Caenorhabditis elegans: one gene and its partners. The protein of the gene in region 1 interacts with the protein of each later gene in a pairwise test. Each region holds a gene or a part of one and is shown on either strand. Other genes may lie near its edges.

Region 1 (5,802 bases):
TGAGTGTGTATGCGCACATTTACGTGTGTGCAACGCGCTCATCACATCTACGAAGGACTACCAGAATTCTCAGACCCTGATTTGTAATACGCACTTTCGTGCTTCATGGAATAAGAAAATAAATATTCGCCGAAGGCTATTTGCTACTAAATGTGAACAAGTTTTCCATTTTGAAAAAGTAAATCCAACTCGGATAAGCTTATCCCTGACCAGTTTCCATTCATACTTTGATGATTCATTTGTATTGAATGAAATTAAAACTGCAAAAATTGTTCAATGCCATTTGCATAGTCTTCAACAGAACCTTGAGCCTGTCAATCAATCGTCTTGACGACATCCACCCATCGTTTCTCAATTTCGATCGAATCACCCACAGTCGCCTCTGATTAATGACCATGACAACAGAAGAACGACTACAGGCCCGGCAAAGACAGCTTCAGGAAAACAATTGTTGACCTAATATTACCTAGCTCTAATGCCAGAATAATAATGGTGACATGGCATTATAGTAGGAGGAGATACATGACAAATGGCAGGAAATTGTCGCGGATACGTCTTTGGCGGGTGGTCTACTTCTGTTGAATGTTGTGAAGGCGAAAATAGTATCTGGTTACACAATATATAGATACTTTGTAAGCTTAAACCAACAACTTTAATATTAACAGAATCTTAAAGTGGTAATTTCAAAGCAAGGAAATTGAAAAATTGGAACATATAGTTAATTGTGTGAACTTTTTTGATTCCAATGTGTTGATTCTGTTCTGATTGTACTTTCGGTTTTAAGCTTAATAACTTTCGGTCTATTTCCGGCAAATTTCATAACATTTCAGTGGCCATTGGAAACTAAAACAACTACAAGTTATGAAATATGCAGAAAAACAATTTCTTGCACAACAAAAGCTTCTCAACAATAGACTCCAATCCTCTCGGTCAAAAGTGTCCTTCCTATGCACATATGCATGAATAAGCCAGGACGAAATTTTATATGTGCATAGAAAGACACATGTAAAAGTCACTACTTCCACTCGCTTGCATGCTCTTGAAGGGATTAGGAATAGAAGAAGGAGAAGAAACAAGTGTATATACACACATTCCGATAGAACGGAGATACACCATCTAAATGAGTTATATGTCTCAATGTCATTTGCATATTTTCGAAACTTTGACGAGAATCCACAAAGGAGTCCTTGTGAAGAATGTGAGCATCCGATTTTATTGGTGAAATAAGTTAAGAGTGTTCAAACAACCATATACTTGGAAAGAAGGTTAAAGATTACAAGATAGCACAATTGATATCTTTTTTTTAACGAAAAAGTCAGCTTCAACCCAATTTAAAAGTGTGAGCTTTTTCTACCGAGGTTAAAAGTGCAGTAGGGATATTGTTTAAAACTGATTTTATACTCAAAATGTCCAAATATCGTAACAAAAATTTCAAAATATTTTGACATGTTTTTTGAAATCATAATTTTGGAAGTCGATCAAAAAAATGTTTTTTCTCTACTAGTTTCATATTTTAATTATGTTTCAATTTTTCGTATGTAAAAATTCTAGGAGTTCGCCTATAACAATTACCTAAAAGTCCACATTTTTGCAAAATTTGCCAAACGAATGACGGTGAATATTGAAAAATCTAATTTTTTTTAAAAACTATTATAAGTGTATTGACACTGAACATCAATTTAAATCGAAAAAATTTTAAACCGAACAAATAGTTGTAAAAAAACTCACATTCTAGAAGATGTCCGTTCACTGAGCAACACACCATCACGTTTCCATTCAATTCGGACATCGTGTACAAGTCTCTCATGAGCCAGAACATAACTACATTCTAATAAATGAGACGATGATTCCATAACAGTCACATTCCGTCGTGGTTCCATTACGAATTGAAAGCCAAGATTCCGAGCATCTGAAAATAAGGTTTTATAAAGGATTTCCTTCAGAAAGTCATTCGTATTGTTTTTTTTATCGAGAATCTTATGACCATTTATATTCCGAGAAAGGTTTACGAAACGTATACTATTATAATAATAACCATTCATTTTTCTTCCTCAGTCATTATTCCATACGTTCTCACATGCTCGATAAATTCTTTTGTGATACATGCGGCATCGTAGAACCTTTATTTTATGAATTCACGGAAAAAAATGCAGTTAAAAACCGAAAAAGTCCTTATCAATTGGGGAATACTGTAAAATGCCACTTATCGCGTCTAATTTTTTTGTTGATATTTTTCTGTACCTTACTAGTTAAACTAAATTATCCTTATTTTTTTCCAGAATTAAAACATATTTTCACAACTGATTTATTATTTTGTAGCTTTCTCAGTCTTCAACCTTGACCATTCCGAAATAACAATAAACCCAAAGCGTCCTTCTTTCTCTTCCGCCGCTCAAAAATTGGAGCCAATTAGTTCACATTTTCGTAAATGTTTAGAAACAGAACTTTGCTACTCATCAATAAGAAATCATCATCATTTAAATGATGAATGAATGTATTCCCGGAGCATTATGCAATCAAGGGAACACCATCAACTGAAGACCCGTGTCCCTCATATTGCCTCATCCATCAATTGAAATCGAAAGGGGATGGAAGAGAAAGATTTGTGTGGTGGAAGCTAAAGAAGATGATGGCATTTCGTTTTGTGTGTGTGTGTTTGTGTCACAATTCATTCCAAGAGTAAGAAGAAAAGAGAGAGAGAAGACTTCATGTGGAACCATTGGGACCCACACACACAATAATGAAATGAACGAATCTGGTGGATTTTGTGTAGAGATTACAATCTTTCGAACATCAAACGCCTAGAGAATCTGGGGAATTGAGCTATCCACTTTTGGTTTGTAGTGAAAAATGCTACAATTTGGCGTCAAGTTTTCTTTAAAGGTGGTACCCACCGTGGGGTAGTGAAATAAGGCCCCGAGTGACGGAATGAGGCTTCTCAAAAGCGGAGTCAAAATTAACTAAAATTTTAATTTTTCCCTAAACCGCCATAATTTAGAAAACGTTCAAGATGTCTCTCTTCTGGGGACAAAAAAATCGCTGCTCCATCTTTAAGGTGTGAAGGAACTAAAAGATTGCTGAACAACTCTGCTAGATCGGAACTCGAAAATTGAGAATAATTTTGAAAGAAGGTTTTTTCAAAGTAAAACCATTAATTCGACGATAAACTAAGTGTTTTATAGGTAAGAGTATTAAAAAAAACGTAACTTTTCTTGGATTTGTATTATTTTTATGGAGTCAATTTTTTTTAAAAATAGCCACAAGGTAGTTCAGTGCCAAGTATTGACTTTAAGATGATTTTTATTTATATTTTTCTATTTTCAAAATTCCATTCTTGAATCGATAAATTATGTTGCCGGTGACTGACACCTTGACAGAATGCCAGATGGTCATCTTCCTTCCCCCATTTTAATATATTTTTGAATTCAAATGTGAAAAACTCTCACCATTATCAATCGATCGACGATGATGTTTCCGTGTTGTGGCATGAGTAGATGACAGATAAACTGTCAGAATTATAAGAATGAAACCTGAAAATTATAAATAGTAATGAAGTTTTATTTAATTTCCTTTTGTTTTCTTTCAGAGGTTCGGGTTTAGATACTTCGTTTACTACGAAATTATAGGATTTTAATTTTATTTGTATCAACACAAAAGTGATAACAACAATATTTAAAACTTTTCCACGGAGAAATTATTAAAATTGATAAGATAAAAAGATGGAACTCACCGAAATGTCGCAAAATCATTTCTACTGAATGAATTAAATAACTTCTGTCGAATTATCGCATTCTATTGGTGATGCAGAGGGTCTGAAATAAATAATGTTTTTATTTACCTTTGGATTTTTTGAACACATTTTTTGAACACAGAAAAAAAGATGGAAAAGAGGTCGTTAAAAATAATTTTGAATAGAAAATAAATATATTTAACGGAAAAAGAGTCAAAAACAGGGTCGAACGTCGTCAAAAGAGCTCCAGAAGTGTCCAGCTGAAGGGGTGTGGCCTTGTGGAATGGACACTCTCTCGTTTCTCTGCACCCTCTTCATGTTGTTAATGGAAGGATAACTGTCTGCACTCTAACCTCTCAAATGTCGTTGAAAGCGTCGCGTATGCGTCGCGTGTGCGCACTCGAAAATTTCTTTTTAATCGTCTTCGCGCCATTTGCGATTTTAAATTCCTTTATTGATTTTTAATGTAATTTACACTTCTTTCCTTCGAAAATTCAATGTTGGTAAAAGGTTTTTTGCCTTAAAAATATATCAAGTTTAATGCTTAATGCTGCGTTTACTGGCGCGGCCTAAATTTAAACATTTACGATTTTGAATGATTTCTGTAGTTTTGACCTGTGTTATCGATCAATAATTCGGAATTTTTACCAAAACATATTAGGTGCATTTGTCATGTTCTTTTGGTACTTCCAGTAGTTCATTTAGGCGTTTCAAAAGTATTTCGAAAAGTGTCGTTTTTGAAGAATTTTATTTTATCGAGAATTTCTGACACGGCGCAGAAAAATTTCTTCAGTCTCTCTCAGCTTTAGTCTCAATTACGAAACAACTTTTTTCTATTTCAGAAATGTCCGATAAATCCGGAGGGTTTTTCTCATCGGTTGGCCGCTTCTTTTCTGTTGGAGCTAGTGCCACTAAAAGCAAAGACGGCGATAAGTCGAATGATGAAGGTACATCCAATTCGTCTTCAAAATCGTCTCCTTCTGCGTCTCCAGCATTGAAAAATATATTATCCGTAGATAATGAAGCTAAAATAGCTTCAGGTAAGTTTAATCACATTGACTTTCATATCAGTACATGGCACTAGAATTTCAACTCATTATTTTTTAAATTCCAGATGAAACTTCAGTGAATACCTCACAAAACCATCGCATCGGATCACGTCTTCGATACCTCAGTCCGACTGCATTGGATCGGCGTACGAGTGCATCCAATGGCTTAGAGATCGATGTGGACGCTGTTCCAGATATTTTCTTCAGCACTCCTGCGGTTTCCACGGTAAATTTTTAAAGTTGTCTTTTTATTAATGTGTTTTCACAGAAAAATTAGATTAAACCTGTTGATAAATGCTATCGAAATATTTTTTTCCAGAATCGCAAACGTCAACTGACAGAGCTCGACAAGCAGATTCTACCACAATCGTTTCGAAGTGAGAGTGTGAAACGAAGTCGATTCCTGAACAGATCATTACTGGAACCAACTCTTAATAGTTCAATGAATAATGAGAGGAAAATGGATATGACTTGGTGTGGAGAGTTAACTGCTAATCATTCTCCTGCTTCATCTATCACAAATTTCTCACTTTTGAGCCGACGAAGTGGAGCAACTACCAACGGGTCATTAAGTACAAGAACTCAAGAAATTTTCAAAAAGCTTGAAGGTGCAAATACACCCGCGAAAGAAGTTCAGAGAATGTCAATGCTTCGAGCTGGCATTGCTCGACCAGAAAAATGGGGATCGTTTAGCGAGAGCAAGGTTCCAAATGGTTCAGCAACTGGCACACCACCACCTCCATTGAAAAAAGCTGGAGACGCAATTCCATCTCGTATACAGCTCATATCAAAGACTATGGGAATGTCCGCTCGACGTGCTCCTTATTGGACGGATTTAACTAGGAAAAGAACATCGTCGAAAAATGGAGACACTGGATCTTCTGATTCAATGAAATCATTGAACGGAAACTTTGCGACTGCAGAGGTAACCTGGATTTTAAACACTTGAAAAAAAATGATACAAGAATTATGAAAAAGTTTTTCTGGTCAAATTTTCTAAAATTAGACACGAGATTATCACAG
Region 2 (5,881 bases), on another chromosome or scaffold:
TTAAGTGCTTTTCCATCAATCTTGTGTGTGACACACTACGGCCGCAAAAAGCACCACGACATGCACTACGACTACTTTTGTTTGTGTTGTTGTTGTTGCTTTTTCTTAGATGGACACACAACCGGAAAAAGATGCACACATTCACATTTCTTACACAATTATAAAAAGTAAAAAGGAGGAGGATGAGGATGGCTCAAGTATAGGAGAGGGTAGGAGGCGAGAGATTAACTGTTTCGGGAGAATCGTAAAGTTTCAGGCCCTTAGGGTAAAAGCCTGAAAATGCAGTCTCGTAGTAGGCACTACTTTTGCCTGCATGCCAGCCTACCTACCTTTGAGGACATCGGTGGCTTTGAAGTTCTTTGAGACCCCGCGAAAATTTGTTGAAAAAGATTGTTGAAAAATCAAAAAGAGGCATTGTAGGCAGGCAAACATTTTCCGCCAGTATAAAAGATTTAACAATAGCTAGTTTAAGTCTGGTGGGTGCGAAGTGGCTAACTAGGGAACCGTCAGAATGTTCCTATCGGACTAACGTATGAGACCTATGCCATCCGAAAGCACATATCTTAAAACGGTTACTAGTGAACTTTTAGCGCCAAAACTCACAGAACCAAGCTCACGGCGAACTCTCAAAGATCCTTGAAAAAAGGCCTGTAACGAAGCACTGAAGGGTCAATTTCCAAAATTTACTTTGGTAGCTTATAACTCCACGGATACATTTTTCACATAAAAGTCATCAACTTAAAAGTTGTTGATATTTATGTAAAGAACAATTTGGTAAACAAAAGTTTTTTTAACCAAAAAATTTTTGTTTCAGATAAAAGCATTAGAATAGCAAGAACATCATAAAAATAACAACAACAGTTGCCGCGCTTCTATCTCAAACAAAAAAAATTTCGGTAAAAAACTTCTAACTTCAAACTTGTTCTTTACAAAAAGATCAACAACTTTTTAGTTGATGACTGTTTTGAAAAAAATTTTTCCGCGGAGATATGAGCTACCAAAGTAATCAATTCTTCGTTACAGTGCTATTTTCATGATTATGTAGGTTTTTTTTGCAGAGTTTCTCATCTAATATTTCCCTTTTCCAATCCCCAGTCCCGTTAGTTAGAAACATCCAAGGTCACGAATTCCGACACAACACTGAATAAACATGTCGTTTAGTTTACAAAACTTTGTATGGATGATGATGATGATGACGGCAAGTTTCCAATTGAACGCCTCATGGGGCCCCCCTCGCGATTAATTCGCTTTGTCGATTTCGAAAGCCCTAGGTCATTAGCCGTTCGTTGTGTGGTTCCTCCTCTCACAGTTCAAGTCAGGCCATTTATAAATAATGTACGGTATTTAGATAGAACCAGGCAAGGATGGAGGAATGGAGGAACAACTATTTAGATGAAAAAGGCAGATTTTTGATGCAAGGACACTTTCTTCTGAAGATTTGCGGTTGAACCTAGCCTCCCCCCTCTCATCTCACTCATTTGATTGACAAATAGGCTCACCTTGTGCCCTTTGCAAGCGATCGGAAGACTCTGCACATCGTGATTGGCGTGTCGAAGGTCCTAAAAAAACACAGTTTATTACCCCCGAATTGCGCGTCAACAACCCACTTGGAGACATCTGGAGCACACGGGCACCTTACATGCCAGACAATACATGGTTAATCCCTCCCCAGGGTGTGTTGCGCAGCGCAGCAAATCTCGAACAGTGGTGGCTGTAGTGATGGCCGATGATTTCCTGGAAAATTGACATAAAAGTGCCTGTTAACAGGCGTGAGGTATGCCGCCAGCCTGCCTTCCACGAGAACCTCAGTTTATATTTTGTGAATTGAGATATTTTATGAGTAGGCAGGCATAAGGCACGTGGTGCCAGAATGTCCGTAGATCTACAAAAAATGCGGGAGAAGAGACGCAGAGTTCTCAACTGATTTTGCATGGTTGAGAGCGTGCTGACGTCACATCTTTATGGGTACAAAAATTCCCGCATTTTTTGTAGATCAAACCATGATGGGACAGCCTGACGCCACGTGATAAGGTAGGCATGTCAACTCACTTTCTCTCTCCATCATTTGCTTGTAATAAGTTATGTTTTGCAAGTGGTCCTCTGGCAGGATGCAACGCAGTTTGACAAGGTGTGCAGTAATAAATGTCGCATTGCTCGCAAAACACATTTGCCATTCGATTTTCACTCCCCTCGCATAGCTGACACTGTGACGATGCTTCATCGGACGATTGAGAACTTCCAGAACTTCCAGAACTTCCAGAACAAGACGGCGTTAAGAACGCCTTGTCCGGATGGGCCAGCAGATACCTTCGAATCACGTTTTGCATTGCGAGATTCGTGGGCGCGCTGACGATCGAGTTCTCATCGCAGAAATAGCTCGGCTTTTGACACGAATTACAGACAAGTTGCACGCCGCTTGTGGATGGTGTTAGGATGTTGTGTAGGCGGGATAGAGGTGGACCGATGATGCTTGACGGTCGACTGGCTGGAAAATTATCAAAGTTGAAGAAAGTAAATTCTGATCTCTGAATTTTGAACCTGAATAAATTTGAGAATCTTTCTCAATTTTGACAGGATTTTTAGAAAATATAGGAAAATTGAATAGTTTGCACTATAGTCCAGATGATCAGGCAGACACGTTTTGCCTGCCTACAGGCCCACTTGTGCCTGCCTACCGACAGGACTGTCTTCCTCCTTTCGAGTAGTTGAAAGTTTTTATCAAAAAAAATTGTTGTTTCAGATAGAAGCGCGTGAAGTGCGGTAACTGTTGTTGTTATTTTTATGCAGTTATTGCTATTTTAATGCTTTTATCTGAAACAAAAATTTTTTTGGTAGAAACTTTTAACTACAAACTTGTTTTTTACAACAATATCAACAACTTTATAGTTGATGACTTTTCTGAAAAAAATTTATCCACGGAGATATAGGCTACCAAAGTGAATTTGGAAAATTGCTTCTTTTCATCGTTACAGTGCTTCGTTATAGTGCTATTTTAGAATCTTTGAGAGCTCGCAGTGAGCTTGGTTCTGGACATTCGCAGCTCAAAATTCACGAGTAACCGTTTTAAGACATGGGCTATCGAATGGCATAGGTTTCATATGCAAGTCCGATGGGCACCTTCTGATGGTTCCCTTGTTAGATTTACACCCAACAATTTTTATATAGGTTGTAAGCCAATCTCAAGAAAATCAACTCACTTCTACCACATCCGACGACTCCAGAATCGGTCTCCGACACAACTGATAGCTTATCACTTTCATGGTCCCCATTGTCCGAAACACAAAGTGACATGGTGTCAGATGCTCCTGCAAACATTAATAATTATTAGTTTTTTTTTCCATTCGTATTCAATTAGTTTCCATTCTTCATTCAATTCTTCCCTTTTGTCGGCACCTCGGTGCCGAAATTGGATTACTCAATACCATTAACCCAATGACATATGGTGTCAACGAGTTAACCAACAAAAAACAAAAAAACCACCAATACTCACCACTACTACTACCAGCACTTTGTGGGGAGATCGGTGAGCTCGCCGAGCTCAGAATTTGTGACAAAATTCCAGGTGTCGAGGGACGTGGCGATGAAGTGGACGAGCTTCCCGACGAGGTTGACGGCTGGTGGGCTTTCAGGGCGCACATTCTGCAGAGACTGTGGCCGCAGGTAAGAATGATGGGGTCTTCGAAAAATCGAATGCATATTGTGCATTTGAGCTCTTCCTCCATTTTTGAAGGGACTGAAATTTGAGTATTGTCAGGTGGAAGTTGAAGTTGAACAAAAAAAAAGAAAAATCTCGGATCAAGAAAGAAAGTTGTTTTATATTTTGAAGTGCATGTGTGTGTGAATGTGTGCAAAGAGCCGTCGCCTACATAAACGCATAAACATATGACATGAAACGTTATGAGAAAACATATATTCAAGAAAAAAAATTCAAGAAGCTCACCGGATGAAAATTCGAAAAATTCGAAAATTTTCACTTAAAAAAATTTCAAATTTTCCAGCAGAAAAAAACATATTTTTTTTTCTTAACGGCTTACGATTAAATACTCTCCAATAATTAAAAGCCCTCAAAAATTAGGTTTAGGGCAATTTTTGAGCCCTTAATTTTTGCACTCTGGAATAGAGCTGGGCGGCATTTTTTCGGCAAACTCACAAAACTGGCTTATTTCAACATGATAATCCAAAATTTTTTGATCTAAAATTGATATGGAAATGTCGAAAAAGGTTTGTTCTTTCCGAAAATAATTTTTTTTTTTTGATGAAAAGTTTGAAACAATCCTCAAATAGTGTCTGAAAAATGCCGACAAAAACGAACTTTTAGGTACTATTTGAGCACTTTTTCAAGCTTTTCAAAAAAAATAAATGATAATATCAAATAGAACAAACATTTTTTTTTACATTTTTAAATCAATTTTAGATTCAAAAATTTGGACCACCATGTTGAAATAAGCCTAAATTTTGAAAACGAAATTTTTATAGGCCAAAGTAAAGAATTTACTTTGAGCGAGCGAAACAATGAAATAAGGTTTACAAACACCTACATTTCATAAATTTTTGAAGAAACAGAGTAGAACGGAGCAAAAATAAAAAAATAAAAACAAAAAATTCCAAATCAAAATAATTCTTCCCATACACATCCTGAAAAGAACACCCAAAATTTTTTTTCAGTCATGGGAACTTTGCGGAAGACGAGAGGACACAAAAGACGGAGAGCTAGAGGCGGAAGGGAAACGTACGCGCGCGGAGAGAAAAGTAGGCGGGGCTAAGGGATGGGGAAGGAGAGGCGGGATTGACATGGACGGGGATGCGATGAGACAAGATGGAGACAGCTTCAACTGATTGTGCAATGAATGATCGATTGGGTGATGGTAATGAGGGAAAAATGAGCAAGAAATTTCAAATTGAGAGGCTTTTCTGAATTCTTGAATTTTCTATAATTTCTGTTCGTTCTCTTCATCCCCGGGCCCAGCCTAAGCCTAAGCCCAAGCCTAGGGCTAGGCCTAAACCTAAGCCTAAGTCTAAGCCTAAGCCTAAGTCTAAGCCTAAGCCTAAGCCTAAGCCTAAAAGCCTAAGCCTAAAACTAAGCATAAGCCTAAGCCTTAGATTAAGCCTACACCAAAGCCTATGCTCACGCTCGCCACTGACGCCAAGCTTAAGCCTGAGCCTACACCTAAGCCTAAGCCTAAGCCTAAGCCTAAAACTAAGCCTAAGCCTAAGCCTTAGATTAAGCCTAAGCTTAGGTCTAAGCCTAAGCCTAAGCACAATATTGAAAGGACTTTTCCCATAGAATTTTAGCACCCAGTTAGACCACCTCTAAGTGTTGCAAAACTTTAAATTTTTGACCTTGCAGCTAGTTTATCTTCTCAAAAAGTTCTGCCAAATTTTTTCCCACAAAATCTCTGCCGAACACAAAAAGAGTAGAAGTCTCTCAGAGCACTGCTGCTGTTTAATAATTTTCTCGTTCTCGTGGTCGCAAAATGATGATGATGATGATCGGGGGGCCCTCCAACGAGCTCATTATTATTTTTGCGAAAAGATTTCAAAGAAAAACTTTTGGATTTTATCCGAGTTCTCTTCTCTATATAAAGTAGCTCGGGAAAGTCTAAGGCGCCTGTCACTGGCTTAACCCGCACCGAGAGTTGGAAGGAGGGTATAAATAAATAAACATATTCACAGAAAGGTATCAAGTTGGTGTGTCTTGGGTAGAGAGAGAGGAGATATTCACAAACCTTTATACGGAAACAATGAATAAGCTTGGAAGGGGGAAAGGTGGAAAGTCCTTCGGGAAGTATGATTAGTGAAAGTTCGATATGCATTTTGGACACTATTCTCAAGGTTTTTGGTGAAAAAAACATAGAGGTTAGAGGATATGTTATTATAGTTT
Region 3 (6,258 bases), 1.7 Mb from region 1:
CTTCTGTCTCAATTCCTTCCACCGGAACATTAAATATACTATTCTTTGCGTGTTGGCTCTTTTTCAGCGCAGCGTTGGCAGTTGTCACATCGACAGGCTGCTCGCCTTCGCAAATTTCTCGACGTACAGACTCGAGCTTTTCCATAATTTCAGTGATATTCCAGATCCATTTCTCGAGATCCAACCTGAGCTCAAGCCATTCATCATGATCATATGGATAGCTTCCGCCGACGGTTTTCGGTAAATGTGACGAGTCGATTATTTTGATAAGCGATTCGAATGAGATCATTTCAACTTCAAAATCCCACGTTCCAAGGGACATTTGTGCTTTTTGTTTCTCCCAGAATTTTTCGGGCTTGATGATGAACACTTGTACTGTTGATGAGCTTTCAATACTCTGAAAATTAACATTTGATATAGTTGGAAAGTTGTTTTAAAAATTGTGCTCCTAGTGTTAAACTTTCCAAAAATCAGGAAAAATTTTCAAACAAATTTACAGTAAAAAAGCTATGAAAATTCAATTTTCACATACAATATTTTTGGAAGTCGACAGAAAAAAAATTTCTATGGTTGAAAAAAATTATATTTGTGTTCCAAAATATTTTTAAAATTTGGCAACGTACACAAACCGTGACTAAAAATTTTGAAAATTTTGAATAATTTTAGAGGGTTTTAGTCTAAGTTTTTAAAGGATATTCCGCTATTTTTGGCTGTTATAAGTGTATATAGTTTTTTGTTGTTTTTGTAGGAATCCATATTTTTTAAACGAAAAAAAAACCATACACTGAGAGCTTTCAGAATGTGTCGAACATTGGTCCATGTTTGTTTTCCACGCATATCAATTACCACAAGGAATCCCTTTTCGCGTGCCATCTTCCTGCAAATTCAATTTTTTGTTTGGTTTTTTTGAAATTTGTGTTTTGTGGGCTTAGGCTAGGCTTATTGTTAAGTAATTGAATTGAAAAATGGAAATAAATTTTTTGAAATATCTTTTTATAAATTTTGTTTTTTCACAGTGTGGTTGTTCCATTTCAGTCAAATAAAAAACTTACGAAGTAACTTCAAATAAATACAGAAAGACATTGCGTAAATTATCCTGATTGACAGGTTGCTCTCGTGATGGACATACGATAACTGCTTGTCCGGCTCTACATCGTCCTCCAGGAAGTACTGCAATGCCGTCACGAAGAACATGCAGAATGTCTTCTGCTTTCATCGTCATCTGGAATTTTTTCGAATTGTTTAAAATCAAAAGTTTTCATAGAGTTTTTGAGATTATTTTTGAAAGTTCAAAATGTCCGGGAACATGAAACCAAAATCTTAGAAAACCAAAAAAAGCTCGCAGTGGCTCCAAAAAATATCAGTGTTTGTCGTAAAAGAAGGACCATTCGAAATTCAATTCACCACCAGAGGAAACGGGTGAGATAGAGGGAGAGAGCGTTGAGACGCAGGCAACACAACACCGAAGAGTGGAATAGGGGGGGAGTCGAGTGGAACGAAAAGGGGCTGGTCACATTGCACTGCAGTTTATCACCAAGTTCAATCTGCTAATCGACTTTTTCGTGTATTGGGACGGACGGACGGAATGGTTAGTGCGCTGTTCGCGGCCCCCGGCAATGGAAAATGACTGTTGATTTGGAGGAAAAGCAGAGAGTCAGAGATAACAGTTCTGCGATCACTAACTCGATTTTTAGGGCTAGCTTCTTGTCTAATTTTGGACCAAAAATTGGGCAAAACTTATACTTGGTTAGGGTGCGCCCAACTTTTCTTGTGTGGTTTTAAACTTGGGTTAGAGTTTGTCAAAAGTTGGATCAAGTTTGGGCTGGATTTGGGCGCAGTCTAAATCAATCTAAGCTTTGCCAACTTCTGGGCAAGAAGCGGGCACCAAATTTTGAAATTTTCGAATTCTAAATGGTGAAGTCGCAGGGGGCGAATTTTCGCTGAACTTGCACTAAAACTTGGAATAAAAAAGAAAATGTCAAACGGAAATCTAGGTTTTATAAAATTTTTTTATTTTTTGTATTTTTTCATTTTTGTATGGCCAATACTGAAAGAAAAATTTGAAATCATTCACTGTACATTACTTTTTTTAAATTTTATGAAACTGTAAAATAGAGATAACAAACTAGAATCATTGATTTTAAATTAAAATAATCAGTACAATGTACTCAAAAACTACCTATAAAAGTTTGGCTCTTTTTGTTTATTTTGTGAAAAAATTGGGCAGAAAAATTTGTATTTGAAAGAAAAAAGACTGAGAGAACTTTTTGTAAAAGCTCAACCAGAGTATTTTGAAGTTGACTAGTTTACTTGCAAGGCAAACCAACACGAAAAAAAACGAAAAAGGAAGAAAGAAAACCCGGCACACAAGAGATTTTCTTTCATTTTTTCTTTCTTTTTCCTCCAATTTTTTGCACTACAACAATTCTCAATGTCTTCCCCGATTGCCATAAACTGCCGTCATTACACACACACACTATTCGGATTTTTTTGTTGGTATTCGTTCTCTCTCACATTTTCCTCGCTTCTCGAGGTCATAATCCTGTCTCGAACAACAACATACTAGTAGTAAGATTGGTGCTAATCGAGAAGGCACTCTTTGAGAGTACCATCTGTTTCAAGGATTGAGGGAAGAGCTTGATAAGCTCCCACTATTTCGTTTCTTTTCTCACACAACTTTACACAACCGGTCACTATTATCGTGCTATCTGCGTCTCTCCATCTCATGATCTATCCGGAAATAATGGGTGAGAAGAAGCAGGAGCACCGGGAGAGCACCGAATTTCGGAATGAGTGACACAAAACAATTGACTCATAACATATTTCAAAAACGTGATGAACTCATTTTACACTTTTCAACAATTGTCTGGGAAGGTTTGTAATCGTAATACATCAATTATTATGATTTATTTTTCTTTAGTTTGGACCTAATCAAGATTTATAGTCGTGAAAAAGAGTAGAGATCTCGGAAATTTTTTTTTTCAATTTTGGCAAAACTTTAAAGTTATATTAAATTTTTTAGTTGCTGTTTTGGTGTTAATTTTTTCTACTACTCATAGGCGAAATTTAACGATTTTTGTATCAAAATACGGTACCCGGTCTTGACACGATAAAATTTTATTTGAAGAATACTGTAATCTCTAGCATTTGGTTTTTGCGGAATTTTCATCAATTTTCATTGTTATTTATAAAAAAATTTTTCATCGGAACAATTTTACAACAAAAAAACTGTTAAACACATAAATTTAAACAAATATAGAGAAAAAAATCAATAATCAACTAAACTACAGTAATCTTTAAAGGCTCATCAAAAATTTGTAGTATCGAGACCGAATACCGTATTTTTATTGCAAATATCGCAAAACTTTGCGTCTGGGCAATATTAACAAAACAAAATTAAATTATTTGAAATTTAAAAATTTGATGAAAAAGACATTTCTCGGAACATTCGAAAAACAAAAACGTATTCTTTTCTCTATCAAATCGTACAGTTTGCACTCGTTTTCCGCATTAATCGCTTCAATGGATTACGGCGCCGGCATCTCTGCCTCTTTTTTCACAAGTTGCCGCTGCCGCCACCATGAAACTGAAAAAACTCACTTTTCCATCATAATCGCCCATAACTGATGGAGGAATTTTATGCGAATTTGACGACTCTTCTTGAATTCAAAATAATCATGTGCTTCTGAATGTCTGTGTGTGTATTGTGACGATCAGATGAGAACCCGTTTATCTGAAAAAATGACAGTTTTCAAAGAATTTTAAATTTCTTTCAAAAAAAGAGATTTGAGAAAATAAAATAGAGTGCGTATTGAAAAGAGAGAAAAAGTTGATTTTCGATTTAAATTTTCTGATGAAATATTGCTCGAAAATCATGGAAAATCACACTAAATAAGATTTTAAAAATCAAAGAAAAAATCGAGACAAAATTATTAATTATTATGGAAAAAACAAAATTTTCCAGAACATTTAAAAATAAGTGCATTACAATTTTAGAAGCTTTTCATATAGCTTAACATCTTCTTGGAACAAGTTTGGTATACAAAATATTTCAAACAATCCGGAAAAAAATGGCTTAAATCGGAAATTGGCAACATGTGGCTTGAGCTAATTTAATTCTATTTGACCCTAGTCTAAACAATCTCTTGCCAAATTTTGGTCAAAATGGTCTTGCCAATTTTTAAAACTAAATTTTAAAGTTTGTTTTAAAATGACTGACTCATTGATATTTTTGAAGAAATTCTATACTCAAGCAGCTAAAAATAGGATGGAAAAGGTCGAAACATTGCGAAACGTTATTAGATCTTCTCACTAGAATACGTACTTTTTCAGGAAGTATGCATTATTCAAATGTCTTCACTGCATAAAATAAAATAAGCAAATAAAGATGTGATGAATCTAGTCTCAATTATTAGTTGCACAACGCATTACAAATCGTTGGGTGTGAAAATGCGAAAATCGTGGAAAAGGAAGAAGAAAAGGAAGAGCTACCAAAACGAACTATTTCTCTCAAGAGGGCCCAACCATTGGGGTGGGCACCGCTCCGGGAATAGCGTACGAAAGCGGGAGACAAGCGAATTGTTATGGGAGGCTAACGGCCGTTGTAGCAGACCGCTGGTCATATGAGACAGTGCTAGTGTCCTGTAGAGACGCAGACGTAAAAAGAGAACGCAAGGGTCACTGCGCGCGCAGACGGATGTTGATGGACCGGACAGACCGCCGGGGACACAACAGGCAAAATAAGAAAGAAGACATGAAGAAGACGACGACGTGAGATGGCGGTAATGGTGGCAGGTGCAAACGATGCAGGCGACAGATGACAAGAAGTATGTTAGCAACACTTCAAATATAGATAATTCTGTTTAAATCCTTTCTTCTCCAAAATTGAATTTTTCAATTGAACTCAATAGATGCTGTTGTGAGCTCTAGAAGTTGTTGAGATGTCTTTATAATCTAATCTCTCAAATTCTTTGAAACTACTTGTATCTGAACTAGAGCATTTTAGTTCAACAGGCAAAACAGATCAAAATTTAATGCAAAAATATATAACAAATAATTTATTAATCAGAAAATAATTTTCATTTAAGTTTGAAAATGTGAAAATATGATTAAAAATTGCATGAAAGTTGCCAATTGCTGGAAAAAAGTGTCAATAATTTGTCTGATTTATTCCAGCAATTTTCACCTTTCAGACAACTTTTAAGGATTTTTTTTCAACTAAAAAATTATTTTCAGATCAATCAATCCTATATTTTGACACTAAATTTTAATGAAAAATATCAGACCAACATGCCACATCAGGCCATTTTGTAGAATTGTCGAAAAAATTTAACGTACACCTCTGATCTGAACAATCAGTTTTTAGTGTCGGTGGAACACCGTAAAACAAAATCCTAGGAAATTTTAAATGAACTAAATTGAACTAAATGACCAAAAATTGAACTAAATGACCGCTATCGCCCTAATATCAAAAATAATATCAATTCCACTCAATCCTACAGTAACAAGTCAACATCAGAGATATTCTCGAGACACATGGTGAAGATTGGATTTCCCAGAGGATTATACCACCACATGTCTCTTCAGCCAAACAGTATACGATGACCGTTCAAGCGGAAATCATAAAACAAAAGGGATCGACACTTGACAGTTACTATCATTGGAATATTATTACCCCCGTTCAGTGAAGTTGTCACGTGGTGCATTGTGGTACTAATTTTTAAAGGTAGTAACCGACAATTTTTTGATGTTTTTTGATATTAAAAATGACGCAAAGATAACGAGTTTCATAACTACATAGATTTTTCAATAATGCTTACAAATGTTTTATGGCGGCTCAAAGTTAAGGATATTATTAGTGAGAGAAAATTTATGTAGAAACAATGTGCAAAAGGAAAACCAAGAAATCGTGATAATTTAACAAAAAGCTCAAAAATGGTCAGAGTCTATTTTCAGATCATCCTGACTTTCTTATGAAAAAAGGATGCGACAGTAAAAATTTGAATTCAAAACGGCGGCATCAATCGTTGCAACAAGGCAAAAACAGTCAAAATATAAGATTTACATCGATTGGTATTCAGAGCGGTCCCGTGGTCACCTCTTCAATTGTTTTACTGTGACTAGGATTGTATTCGCGCGCTATCGCTAACTTCCCAGAAGGCGTGCCTCCTGGGTAGTTAGCGACCCCATGAGGGTCACATAGTTGCCACTGTTTTTAATTCCAATTTCAGATGTCTAACCGTACCTTAAACATTGTTT

The links. The genes of interacting proteins can lie anywhere in the genome.
Region 2: the proteins of unc-40 (region 1) and madd-2 interact in a two-hybrid assay, tested with the Caenorhabditis elegans proteins (2 studies listed by BioGRID).
Region 3: the proteins of unc-40 (region 1) and unc-73 interact in a two-hybrid assay, tested with the Caenorhabditis elegans proteins (2 studies listed by BioGRID).

What each region holds. Positions count from the first base shown.
Region 1 is NC_003279.8:5,687,692-5,693,493, forward strand, and holds the start of unc-40 (Netrin receptor unc-40), read right to left. Parts: upstream 3,813-5,802; 5' UTR 3,750-3,812; coding exon 3,731-3,749; intron 3,531-3,730; coding exon 3,447-3,530; intron 1,910-3,446; coding exon 1,729-1,909; intron 1-1,728. Other genes in the region: npp-7 (RanBP2-type domain-containing protein), read left to right, coding at 4,575-4,770, 4,845-5,005, 5,099-5,704.
Region 2 is NC_003283.11:1,231,713-1,237,593, forward strand, and holds the start of madd-2 (E3 ubiquitin-protein ligase TRIM9), read right to left. Parts: upstream 3,734-5,881; 5' UTR 3,723-3,733; coding exon 3,491-3,722; intron 3,306-3,490; coding exon 3,198-3,305; intron 2,486-3,197; coding exon 2,050-2,485; intron 1,735-2,049; coding exon 1,608-1,734; intron 1,560-1,607; coding exon 1,500-1,559; intron 1-1,499.
Region 3 is NC_003279.8:4,028,007-4,034,264, forward strand, and holds the start of unc-73 (CRAL-TRIO domain-containing protein), read right to left. Parts: upstream 3,734-6,258; 5' UTR 3,622-3,733; coding exon 3,601-3,621; intron 1,223-3,600; coding exon 1,053-1,222; intron 878-1,052; coding exon 784-877; intron 398-783; coding exon 1-397.